Linked DNA regions of Neurospora crassa OR74A. The protein of the gene in region 1 interacts with the protein of each later gene in a pairwise test. Links are inferred from orthologs where the notes say so. Each region holds a gene or a part of one and is shown on either strand. Other genes may lie near its edges.

What was found. The genes of interacting proteins can lie anywhere in the genome.
Region 2: the proteins of NCU03485 (region 1) and NCU02405 interact in binary tests that used the Saccharomyces cerevisiae proteins (3 or more experiments, as listed by UniProt). The link is inferred for Neurospora crassa OR74A from reciprocal best matches to the Saccharomyces cerevisiae genes SEC65 and SRP14.

What each region holds. Positions count from the first base shown.
Region 1 is NC_026502.1:522,175-528,615, reverse strand, and holds NCU03485 (signal recognition particle sec65 subunit), read right to left. Parts: upstream 3,357-6,441; 5' UTR 3,146-3,356; coding exon 2,045-3,145; 3' UTR 1,781-2,044; downstream 1-1,780. Other genes in the region: NCU03486 (hypothetical protein), read right to left, coding at 4,047-4,160, 4,216-4,955, 5,007-5,292, 5,351-5,398, 5,452-5,640, 5,739-5,828. UniProt on the Saccharomyces cerevisiae protein: Signal-recognition-particle (SRP) assembly has a crucial role in targeting secretory proteins to the rough endoplasmic reticulum (ER) membrane.
Region 2 is NC_026507.1:2,610,959-2,615,708, reverse strand, and holds NCU02405 (hypothetical protein), read right to left. Parts: upstream 1,955-4,750; 5' UTR 1,801-1,954; coding exon 1,777-1,800; intron 1,695-1,776; coding exon 1,616-1,694; intron 1,444-1,615; coding exon 1,112-1,443; 3' UTR 512-1,111; downstream 1-511. Other genes in the region: NCU02406 (nuclear protein), read left to right, coding at 2,226-2,295, 2,385-4,750. UniProt on the Saccharomyces cerevisiae protein: Component of the signal recognition particle (SRP) complex, a ribonucleoprotein complex that mediates the cotranslational targeting of secretory and membrane proteins to the endoplasmic reticulum (ER).

The DNA of each region.
Region 1 (6,441 bases):
TGAGAGTTTCGAAGGGATGGTCGAGCTGGAGGTTGGGCAAGATGTGGCTACGAAAAGCATACCGATAAAAAGCCATCCAATGAAGATGGCAATCAGAACAGTCGAGGCAACTACTGATTTGCAACCTATCATCACGCGGCAGTCACTACCCGCGCCACAAGATAGTGTGGTTGTATTTCGTCGTGTTCGACCAATGGTGTTTCTCGCCCGTAGCTGGCGGGCAGCTCTTGCCAGTTATGACTCTGAGCTTTTGACACAGCTCCTTCTCTTCCAGATTGCTTCCACAGCCAATCATTGGTCAACCATCATCCAGTCCCTCCCTATCCGTCACCAGCCAGCCTGACTACCGAAACCTCCAGACACATCAACCCCATTACTCTGATCACTTCTGTCGGCGCATTTCCGATCTTCAAACGGTATTCAGGACAGCAAAATCCCCGCCTTCCTCTCGATCTCATCACTCTGCAACTACTCACATCTATACCATAAACCCTCGCTCACCCAACAACTCCCCGACCTTTTCCAACAGCACCAGAACCTCAGCACGCTCATCCCCATCCATATCGTCAACATCAACCCCATCCCCATCTTCATCCTCTCATCCACCCACCTCCCACTTCCAATTCCCCTTACCAACTCCCTCTATCTCCCCCCTCTTAACCCTTACTTCCCTCTCCCTGCTATAACCTCCATCCCTGGCATGAATCCCCCCCCCCCCCCCCCCCCCCGCCTCCTCCAAATCCCTCCTATCCCCCGTCCCATCAAACTGCTTTACAAGCGCCACGCCCATATTCGCTAATGCCACCGCCGCCTCTCTCTGAGCCTGAGCCTGTGCCTGTGCATGTGCCTCTGTCTGAGCTTCGGGATAAGCAGCCAAACGACACTCAACCTTATCATCTCCAGACGCTGCGGACACTGCAATAAGCGAAGAAGCTAGGACTAGAGCTACCTGCCCTAGCACAGTTACTCGTTCCAACACGTTGGTATCTCCTTTGTCTTTGCTTTTTGATTGAAACTGGGAGTATGTCTGGAGTAGGGAGGTGGTTTGTTCGCTGAGGGAGGTCAAGAGGGTGAGATGGTCCTGATCGCGATCCTGCTTCTGTCCTGATGTTGATGTTGCACAGGTTCGAGTTGATCTTTTTTTCTCAGCATAGTGGCTAAAGTTGACCTCAGCCTCCGCTCCCGGCACAACACCCTCACGCCGCTTTTGAGAAAAGGCGTCTTCTTTCGAGGGAAAAGGAGTTCTGGGAGTCGCCGCCGCCGCATTATCTTTGAGGTGAATCTCAGTCTCGGATACCACGAATAACCTCTTCAAATACTCAGCTGTTGATAACAGAGTGGCGTGGTAGAGACTGTATTCGTTGATGGGTTCAGGATTCTGATGGACTGAGTGAGGCGCATGAGGGAAGGACTAACCAAGGTGATTAGCGATGGGGAAGTACCTAGACTCCCACGTAGGATAAAGAGGAAAGGTGTTGGTTATTGGCGGAACTTACCATCGCTCATTGTGCTCAAAGACAACCAGGAAGTGTTCGGTTGTTGTAGTTTATAGTAGGCTCCCCGACTACCACCCTAAAGTTCGACGAATAAAAAAAGTAACAGGTAACTGTGAAGTTATTGCAAACACAGAAGCCGAAAAAAGCCCCGTGAGAGCAGATCCCGTTTCGAGTAAACAAAAACGAAAACTTAAAAAAAAAATTTGGGGTAACAAGAGCATCATGATCCTTCTTATCATATACCTCTACCTCTCTAAAAAAAAAAAAAAAAAAAAAAAAAAAAACCTCGACGGGCGGTAGCGGACTGATTTACCTAGGCTGTTAGCTGGTCTCATCTATTTTGTTTCGGACGAGCCGGCCACGGGGCTTCGTTAAAAAGTACATGGTATTATCGTTTTGGTAAACTGCTTTCTGCGGTCTACGCTGTTTGTTGTTCATTATGTTATACGGCAAAGCGGGAAAAAGGCTTGCTGGCAGGTTGAATCTTTCTCAATCATGAGCATCGCTCTCAACTCCTTTCACATCTTCCCACCCCTAGACTTAGCACCCTATTTCTTTCCCTTCCCCTTCTTCTTCCCCGCCGCCTCACTTCCACTCGCCCCCGGACTCGTCGCACCACTACCTCCCATCCCACCCATCCCCCCCAACATATTCGCCAACCCACCCAATCCTCCCATCCCTCCCATCCCCTGCAACAAGCTCGCCATATCCGGCATCCCACCCGCTCCCGCTCCCGCTCCTCCTCCTGGCATCCCCGGCATGCCCGGCATCCCACCAGGTCCCATCTCCTTCATCATATCCTTCAAGAAATTCTCACTGACCCCACCGCCCGTCATCGCCGGACTATAGTACGGCAACAGCTCACTCATCTTCCACCCCCTCGGCACCGCCGGCCTCGGCCACTTCTTGCCTTCCTCCAGCATTTCTCTAGGCGGGGGTCCCGCGCCCCTCACCACGACCCTCAGCGCCGGACTCTCGTCCGTCGTCGGGTGTTTCTTCAGATGCTCCGCCACGAGGATATACAAGTGGTGTTTATTCTTCAGCTTCCCATTCTCGCCATGCAGACGGATGAATTCCTTCAGGTTGACTTTGACGCGGCCCGGGTTGGCCCAGTCCTTGGGGTGCAGCTTGCCTGCCTCGAGAACGACGGAGAGGCGGAGCTGCGCGCAGGCGTTGACGATCTCGGTCGCTAGCGGGTTGGGAACAGCTAGCTCCTTGGATACGCGCCGGCCTTCGGCGCGCGAGCGCGTGGCGTCAAAGTAGCATGGGTACAGGCACTGGAAGGATTTGTAGGCCGAGTCGTCGGTGGTGGTTTGCATCTGGGGGTAGCCGGGGGGTTGGGTGTACTGTCGTTGTTGTTGTTGTTGGGAATATTGTGGGGGAGGGACTTGTCGTTGTTGAGCGGCGGCGGCAGCCTGGGCGGCCTGGGCAGCTTGGAATTGTTGGTGTTGCTTTTCGGCCTGCGCGCGGTGGGCGGCGGAGAGAGGGGTGAAGGAGGGCCCGGGCATGACTTTGGAGGCGTAGGCGGGAGGAGCGTCGCGCTGGACGAGAATGTCGGATTCGGCAAAGTCGTCAATGTCGCCCTCGGAGGGGTCGGACATTTCAAGGTCGCTGTCCTCGACTTCTTCTACCCGCGGGTGGGAAGGCATCTTGGCGGTTGTCTGTGACTGAGACTGTAGCTCTTGATCTTTGCTCGGTGGGTAGGTATTTTGGTGAAGTCAAACTCTGAATGCGCAAATACAGCTGAGGCGACTAGGTCTGTGATAATTATGGCAGGGGGGGGGGGAAGTGGAAGGTCGCGGTGGTTGAACAGATGAACCAACAGCTCCCCGTGAGTTGTTGGAGAAATGTGGGGTGGCCCGTCCAAGCTGTCGATGTGGTTTCAATTGAGTTGAGTGGGGTAGCCGGCCGGGGGAAATAAAGTGGGGTCCGTGCACACGGCTCCGGGCCGGCAACGAATTAGCGGCACCAACCGCCAACCTCGAGTCAACTTCACCAAGCATTTTCATGTCCAGGTGATACTTTGCGTTCTTATGAATATGCTTTTTCCAAAATAAATCTTGTGTTGATGCGTGTCATCTGTACCTCGCCATGCATTTAGTCGTTCTAATATTTGGCACATTTCGGAAGTGATCTCGTCCAAGTGTACTTGGAACAGGTATGTACTAAGCTAACAAACAAACTAGATTGTATTTTGTACGTCATGTTCCTCCGCTGTTTAGCATCCGCAAACAACAAACAACTCAAACTATCTCCTAAATTCTGACTCCTGATTTGAATAGACTAGAGAAATGATCAGTTCGCAAAAGGCAACAGCCACAGCAAGCCCCTGAGCGTGAAATCCGTTTCTTGGTGCCTTTCATCTCAGATGCCTCCTATTCGGACAGCTCGCCATCGCATTCCCTTCGCTGAGAAAGCCTCCTCTTCGATAAATTTCTTTTCCCAAACTCTTTTTGAGGAAACCCCCTTCATCAGATGGGTCTTCACTCGCAGACGCCCATCTTCTCCACACCGCGTCAGAGCTCCCCTTAAAGCTACGTCGTTCCCTGTTTAAGAGAAGTAGTCATAGGTCTTTGTGCTTCTGTACTTCGTGCCGGGCGGGTGATCGGCATCCTCAAATTTGCAATAAGGATGAGTGCAGACACCGTCCTTGACGTTGGGGCACTGTGATTACGGTCAGCACATAACCAGAACTCGAGGCATGATGAGTGAAACTTACGTGGTGTCCATAAATACAATCTTCGACATCGCAATCCTGGCCGCTGGTGCAAGGGTTCAAGCGGGCCAAGAAGGCAATAGCGTCAATCTCTTCTTTGCTAGGCTTATACTTGTGTTCGAAGCAGCAGGCGTCGCCCTTTGAACAGGGACCCCTTAGATAATGATTGTTGCAAAGTTTGTTGTTGTCCTTCCTTTTCTTGATACTTTCCAGAGCAGCTGGTGAGACCTTGATGGGCGGGTCCAAGCCACGAGGACCGGGGTTCCAGGCCGGCTGCTTCGGGGTGGCCGAGGCACGAGCATTTGCGTTCACAGGTCTAGGCTGGATAGGAAGCGTGATCTTGGGCGGAGGGCTCGCGTTTCCAATAGCTCCGGCATAACTAGCAGTTGCGTTCGCGGGCGTAGACGTGGTGGAGCTGGTGGGAGTCGGAAGATTGCCGTTGCTGACAGTAGGAGTGGTGGTAGATGAAGATGACGTGGTAATCAAGGGAGAAGTGTTGGTGCGCAGTGATGTCTTGTCTACCAGCTTCTCCGATCGGAAGATTTCGTCGTTGAAGTTCAAAATGTTGACGCCGGTGGACACGAGTTCGCGAACAGTCGGAATACCTTCGACGACGGTAACGCGGCGCTTCTTGGTCTCATCTTGGAAGAGCTCATCCAGGAATGGAGCATAGCCGGCATCATGCGAAATGCCGAGAAGAAGCTGCTTACAGTTGTAGTTGCGCAAATTCCATTTCGCCGTTTCTGTTTTCGGTTAGTATCTATCAAGTGTGCTACTGGGACAGATTAACCCACCTTTAATCTTGTTATCCGCGCGCTCCTTTCCGTGGCCAACATCAACAAAGTCAAAGGTTGCCTTTCCTTGAGTAAAGCCAATGGTGAACTCCTTGAGAGTTTCCTCAGCCTCCAGGCATCCGTTGCGTCTCATGGCTTTGGCCAAGCCACCGAGGTTGGCATAGACTTTTGCAATGACTTCCATATTGCCCGCAAAATCGCCGCATTGCTCAAGAATAGCGCTTCGCAAAGCATAAGCCGCCTTTTTACCGCCTTCGACTCCTTGTCTGATTAAGGCTTCTTTAAACTGCAACAAGGAGTTAGACAGCTGCAGGGGGGAAGCAGGAGACCAGGGGTGGACATACCAAACAGCAGTCACCGTCTATGAGGACGACCACAAAAGGATTGTTGTTCTGCAGATTCTGTTTCAATAACTGTCTCGACCAGACTGGCCAGTGACCCTCACCTTCAAGTGATGATTATCTTGAGCAAGGTCCCTGTTACGAGACTCGGTATTCGCCACCTGCTGCTGGAGGTCTCTTCTAGAACGAGTGGCATCCTCAAGATCGAGCTGGGCATCTGTAAGCTGTCTCCTAAGGGCTCTGTTTTCGTCGCGGAGAGCATCCTCAACGTTTTTGGAGTAAAGGAGGAGGTCCTGCACAGATACATGTCAGCCTAATGAATAGAGACTGGCATGAGTTGAGAAAGGTCCATCTTTCAACCTCTCAGTCACTCTGTTGGACGGAAGCCCACCTCTATCAGCCTCGCGCTGCTGTCGTTAAAAAGACTAAGGGTTTGAAACCTTTGGTAGAAGGCCATAAGGTCGCTTTCGGGGGCAGCCATGATGATGGTTAACCCGGTGGGTTTTAATATTTTGATGTTTAAACTTGAGGCTTTGCAGGCAGCGAAGTGAGCTGGTCTGTGGTAGCCGATATGGCACTTGACAAGTCAAAACAATGGTAGCCAAAGAAAACAACCTTGCTTAATGATGGAGAAGACAGAGCTATCCTCAAGCTGTCTGCTTAGGGCGTTCTGACAATAGTAGGTTAGCAAGTGGTTAGGCAGGCAGAGTGTGGTCAGGCCGGTCGTAGAGCAGCTGTCACTTGGCCGCTCCTCCCGATGTCCGGTTCCGCAAGAATTCTTTTGTTGCGAGCGACTCGAGACCCGCACGGGATAAGCGCCGTAACAGGGGCTGTGCTTGTCAATGTGGAACTGGAAACGGCCGGTGTGCGAGCTTCCCTACTGGGGATATGCGTTTGAACCTCGGATGCTAACGTCGACGGTGGGATAAGGCACGTCTGTATGGAAACGGGAGTGTAGTCTATTCCGTAGCTATGTTCTCGAGACTCAGAGGATGGCAAGCTTGAATTCCAAATTTGTAGGTGTACGACAGTGTTCAATGTGGCTGGGAGGAAGGCCGAAACAGCTTCGAGAGACGGGACGAGATGGCAGACAT
Region 2 (4,750 bases), on another chromosome or scaffold:
CTTTCTTTCAGCAAGTTGTTTACGGTTCGGACCCTCAAAATGGACAGTTGATCTTGTTTCACCTACATCCCCCCACCTTTAGACTGTACTCTTGAAGAGAACATGCAATTATCTCGGTTGACCTTAGGATTAAGGTCGAACATTGGAACTGCGACTCTTGGTAACCTGAATCAAAGCCAATCAAGGTGAAGCCAACGTGATGTGACGTGTTCGTGGTGTTTCATAATGGTGAATCGAGTGGAGAACGGGTGAGCCGGTTGCCCTTCAGCTGATGCTCATAAGTGCGGCTCAAATATATCTACGCTTGACGTCAGGGTACGGTAGCTGCTGCTCCACCCGGGCAGTCTTGTTATTTTACCAAATGAGAAATGTTAACTTTGCTAATAGGACCGTTTAGATCGAGTCACCTGGAGATACACGCTCTCCCGGTGATCAAGTTCACACCCAAGACAGGATCGTGAAGGCCAGCCAGCAGATTTGGAACAAGCATATGAACGTTATCAATTCGGCTCGCTCTTACTCTCCCCTTCGTTCAACAGCTTCTCTGTTGAGGCACAGCAGTCGTTCTCTCACGCTTCTTCCGTCACTCATTCATTTCATGTTCCTCTCTTTCCCTTCCATCTCCATTTCCACGAAGGGCCGCATACTTCCTGCGGCAGGACTGAACATTCTCCAGAACGGGCATATGATCCCTTTAGTTCGCACCTTTCATTAACTCCAGTAGCTCACGTAGATAGTAGATGTGCGCTGCACGCTAGATAGGCAGCTGAGCTTTTCATATTCCCCCTTCCCCCCCTCTCCCAACACCTTTTTTTTCTTCCCTTCCTTTCTCGCTAGTCGTCTTGAAGGGTAATACCAACTACGAGCAGGTGAGTCGAGAGGTAGGGTAACCGAGAGTGGCAGATTGAAGGCTATGATGCGGTACTACTCACCAACGCTTTCCTTACCATGCGTACCCACTGACTTGAACCAGGGTATTCCACCAAAGCTTGGGAATATTACAAAATTTAATACGGTACCCTCATACAGATCCCTCCTTCCGTTAGGTCATGTACACACAAGAAGACAGAAACAGCAATGGTGTAATTTGCAACGCTTGTTTCGAGTCCAATCAGGGAATAGCCATCATAGAAGTCCCACCAGCACCAACACCAGGACCTCCAGCGGCTGCAGGACCTGTCTTCTTCTTCCTCGACTGCTTTTTCCTCTTGGTCCTGTCTCTCGGCTTCAATGCCCCCATGCCCTTCTTGCAAACATCGGCGTACCTCCCGTAGAAGGTTTCCAGGTCGGCTGGCTCGACAATGGTGGACAGCTTGACCTTTTCTGTCCTCTTGTCCTTGCCCTTGGCGTTGGTGGCGCGGATGAGAACCGGGAGCGGGGTGGCAGGGTTGAGGTCAGTGAGAGGGTCGGTATCCGTGGATTGGGAAGGGGTGCTGTAGGATACTGTGGGAGGGTTAGCTTTGGTGACGGAGCTTCACTCTACTTAGCTCATCGTGGGTGGATGGAGATGGAGTTTAAGCTTGGAAAACAGCGGAAATTGGGAGGATTGTCGTGACGATAGCAAAGCCGAGTGTGAAGTTTCCTGTCTGCGCTGGGTTGGTGTAGGTACACGTACGCCTCTTTTGTACTAGGTTGATGGTTCCGTGATCTTGGTTCTTCCTATACTCGAACAGATTGGTGAGCTTGGAGAAGAACTATATACCATAGTCGGTTGAAGTCAGATTAGCATGGTCTCCTCAGGACGGGATCACAGCAGCCAGTCACATATAACATTACCTCATCGTGAGTTAAATGACCCATGATATCCAGTTGTTTTTCGTCTTCTTCTTATGCTCGTTTGCAAAAGGCAAGACAACAATTCGGCTGAGGAGTGAATGTGAAGGCAACCTAGAATGATTGATGAAAGTCAACGAGAGTGGCAGCTTTCCCCACTGCTGTTGGCCGGGCAGCTCCCGTCTGTCTGGTAGGAGTGAGCTTCCCCAGCGTAAAACCAGCCGGGTGGGGTCCCAAGCAGCGGAGGACCCGCTTCATCTCTTGGCGCTCTTGGCCCCGCAGTCGACATGCCTGGAACCCTGCACCGACCGATAACCAAAAAAACTATCTGATAACGATAGCAAGGTCCCGATCCCGCGCTCTTCCATGCAGCGACGGACGAGAGAGCCTTGCAAAGTTTGGAGGTCGTGCCAATCAATCACATCTACACCTCCGCACGCGCATATTACAACATGGCACCCTCCATGAGGATAAAGGCTCCAAAATTGCCTGACAACCTCCTGAAGGAGCTCGGCGTAGAAGGTGAGCGTGCCTCCGTTCATGCGCCCATACAGCCATTGTCATTCCTGCCTGGCAATCAGGGTTCTCCGACGAAATCCTAACTCTTGCAGGACAATCTCACGGAGGTCGCAAGAATCAATTTCAGTCTAGAAAGGATCGCCGTAAAGCAGAGAGAACACAGAAAAGGATTCACCGCACCTCGTCCACAAGAAGTTACCATACCGAGCGCGCTACAGCCCCAAAACCACAGAAGAAGGTCGATGCCGCATCGTCAAAGGAAGCAAAGGAACCCAAGCCCATCTTGAAGAACGGGAAGAAACGATCATTGGAGGATGAGGATGAAGATGTTGCCCTCGAAGAGGACGATGATGAGGATTTCGATGACGAGGGCGATATCGATCTTGACGAGGACGAGGACGATGAGCTAGACCTCGACGAAGAAGACGACAAAGACGGCGAAGACGTGGACGATGAAGAGGAAAGTGATGTCCCAACACAAACCATATCGAAGTCGCAGCCCAAAATCTCAAAAACTGTCATGGAACGATTGGCGCAAGACGACAAGGAGATCGCAGACCTCGAAAAGAAGCTCGGCATCAAGGGACGCAAATCGCTTCCCAAGTCCTTCCAGGAGGATGGTCTTCTTGATCTACTAGAAGGCCTTCCTGGCGTAGACGACGAAACAGCCGAGAAAAGGAAGCGGAAGTCCGAAGCGGATGAGTGGCTTGCGGCGAAAAGGAGGAAAGCGGAAGAGGCCAAGAAGACGAAGGAATTCGAACTAGACGAGGAAGAAAATGAAGTCTCCGAACTGGACGAAGAGGACGATGGCTTGGACGATCTCTTAGAGGGATTGAACTCGGACGAAGACAACGACGTTGACCAAGACGAAGACATGGTCGAAGGCGATTCTGATGAAGATGGAGAAGAAGACAGCATCTTGGGCGAGGATGAGGGGGATTTTGGAGGATTTGACGAGGACGACGACGAGGACGACGACGAGGACGACGGCGACGACGACGAATCCGACAACGACGAAGAAACGCTACAAAAGCCGCCAGAACGGGTCCGCGAAAACCCATATGTTGCGCCTACAACTGGGCGGACTGTAGTGAAATACGTGCCACCATCGAAGCGACAGGAGGCGGGCTCAGAAGCGGAGTTGGTGGCCCACATTCGCCGTCAAACACAAGGTCTCATCAACAGGATGACAGAGTCTAATCTTTTATCCATCATTATGGACTTTGAAAAGCTTTACCGCGACAACCCGCGACAACATCTTACGTCGAACATTGTCGATCTCCTACTCATTCAGGTGTGCGAGCCAACGACGCTGCCTGATACGTTGCTCGTGCTTACCGCGGGTTTCGCTACGGGTATCTTCAAGGTGATTGGCATGGACTTTGGCGCACAGTTAATTCAAGAAGTGATCGAGCGATTTGATAGGCATTATGAAGAGGCCAAAGAGGCTGCAAAGGAGCGGCCAGACGTGCCGAAACAGACATCCAACCTCATCACTTTCCTATCCGAACTCTATAACTTTCAACTCGTGGGCCCTAACTTGCTCTTCGACTTCATTCGAATCCTTTTGGGTGATCTTTCGGAGCTGAACGCGGAACTTTTGCTCAGAATTGTGCGCATTGCTGGCCCAGCCCTCCGACAAGATGACCCCATGTCTGTCAAGGACATTGTTACCCTTATCCGCCCGGCTGTTGCCAAGATCGGAGAGAAGAACCTCAGCGTCAGAACTAAATTCATGATTGAGACCATCAACGACCTGAAAAACAACAAGATGAAGACGGGTTTAGGCGCTTCCGCCGTTCTCACGGAGCACACAACCAAGATGAAGAAGCTTTTGGGCACCTTGAAAACCATCAAGACGGCCGAGCCCTTGCGAATGACCCTTGCCGATATACGCGATGCCGACAAGAAGGGCAAATGGTGGCTTGTAGGCGCTAGCTGGGCAGGCAGAGATAAGGACAGTGACAAGAAGCCATTGACCCAGGACGGTGTCATACAGGATAGCGTTGACTCGGACGACGAAAGCTTTGTCTTGGAGGATGTCGAGGACATGCCTGACCTCGGAGAACTTGCCAGAGAAAACCAGATGAACACGGACGTGCGCCGGTCCATCTTTGTGTCGATAATGTCCGCCACGGACTACGAAGATGCCTACTACCGCATCCTCAAGTTGCGCCTGAACAAGGAGCGACAGAGAGAGATTCCATACGTGGTCATCCAGTGTGCCGGCGCAGAGCAGGTCTACAACCCATACTACACCTTGGTGGCCAAGAAGCTTTGCGGGGATCGCAAAATCCGGTGGTCGTTCCAAGACGCGCTCTGGAAGCTATTCAGGCGTCTCGGAGAGTCAGTTTTTGGCGATGACGCGGAGGATGAGGAGGATGTAGATGCGATGGACATGCGGCGGCTTGTCAACATTGCAAAACTGTTTGGGGCCATGGTGGCAGGTGGATCGCTA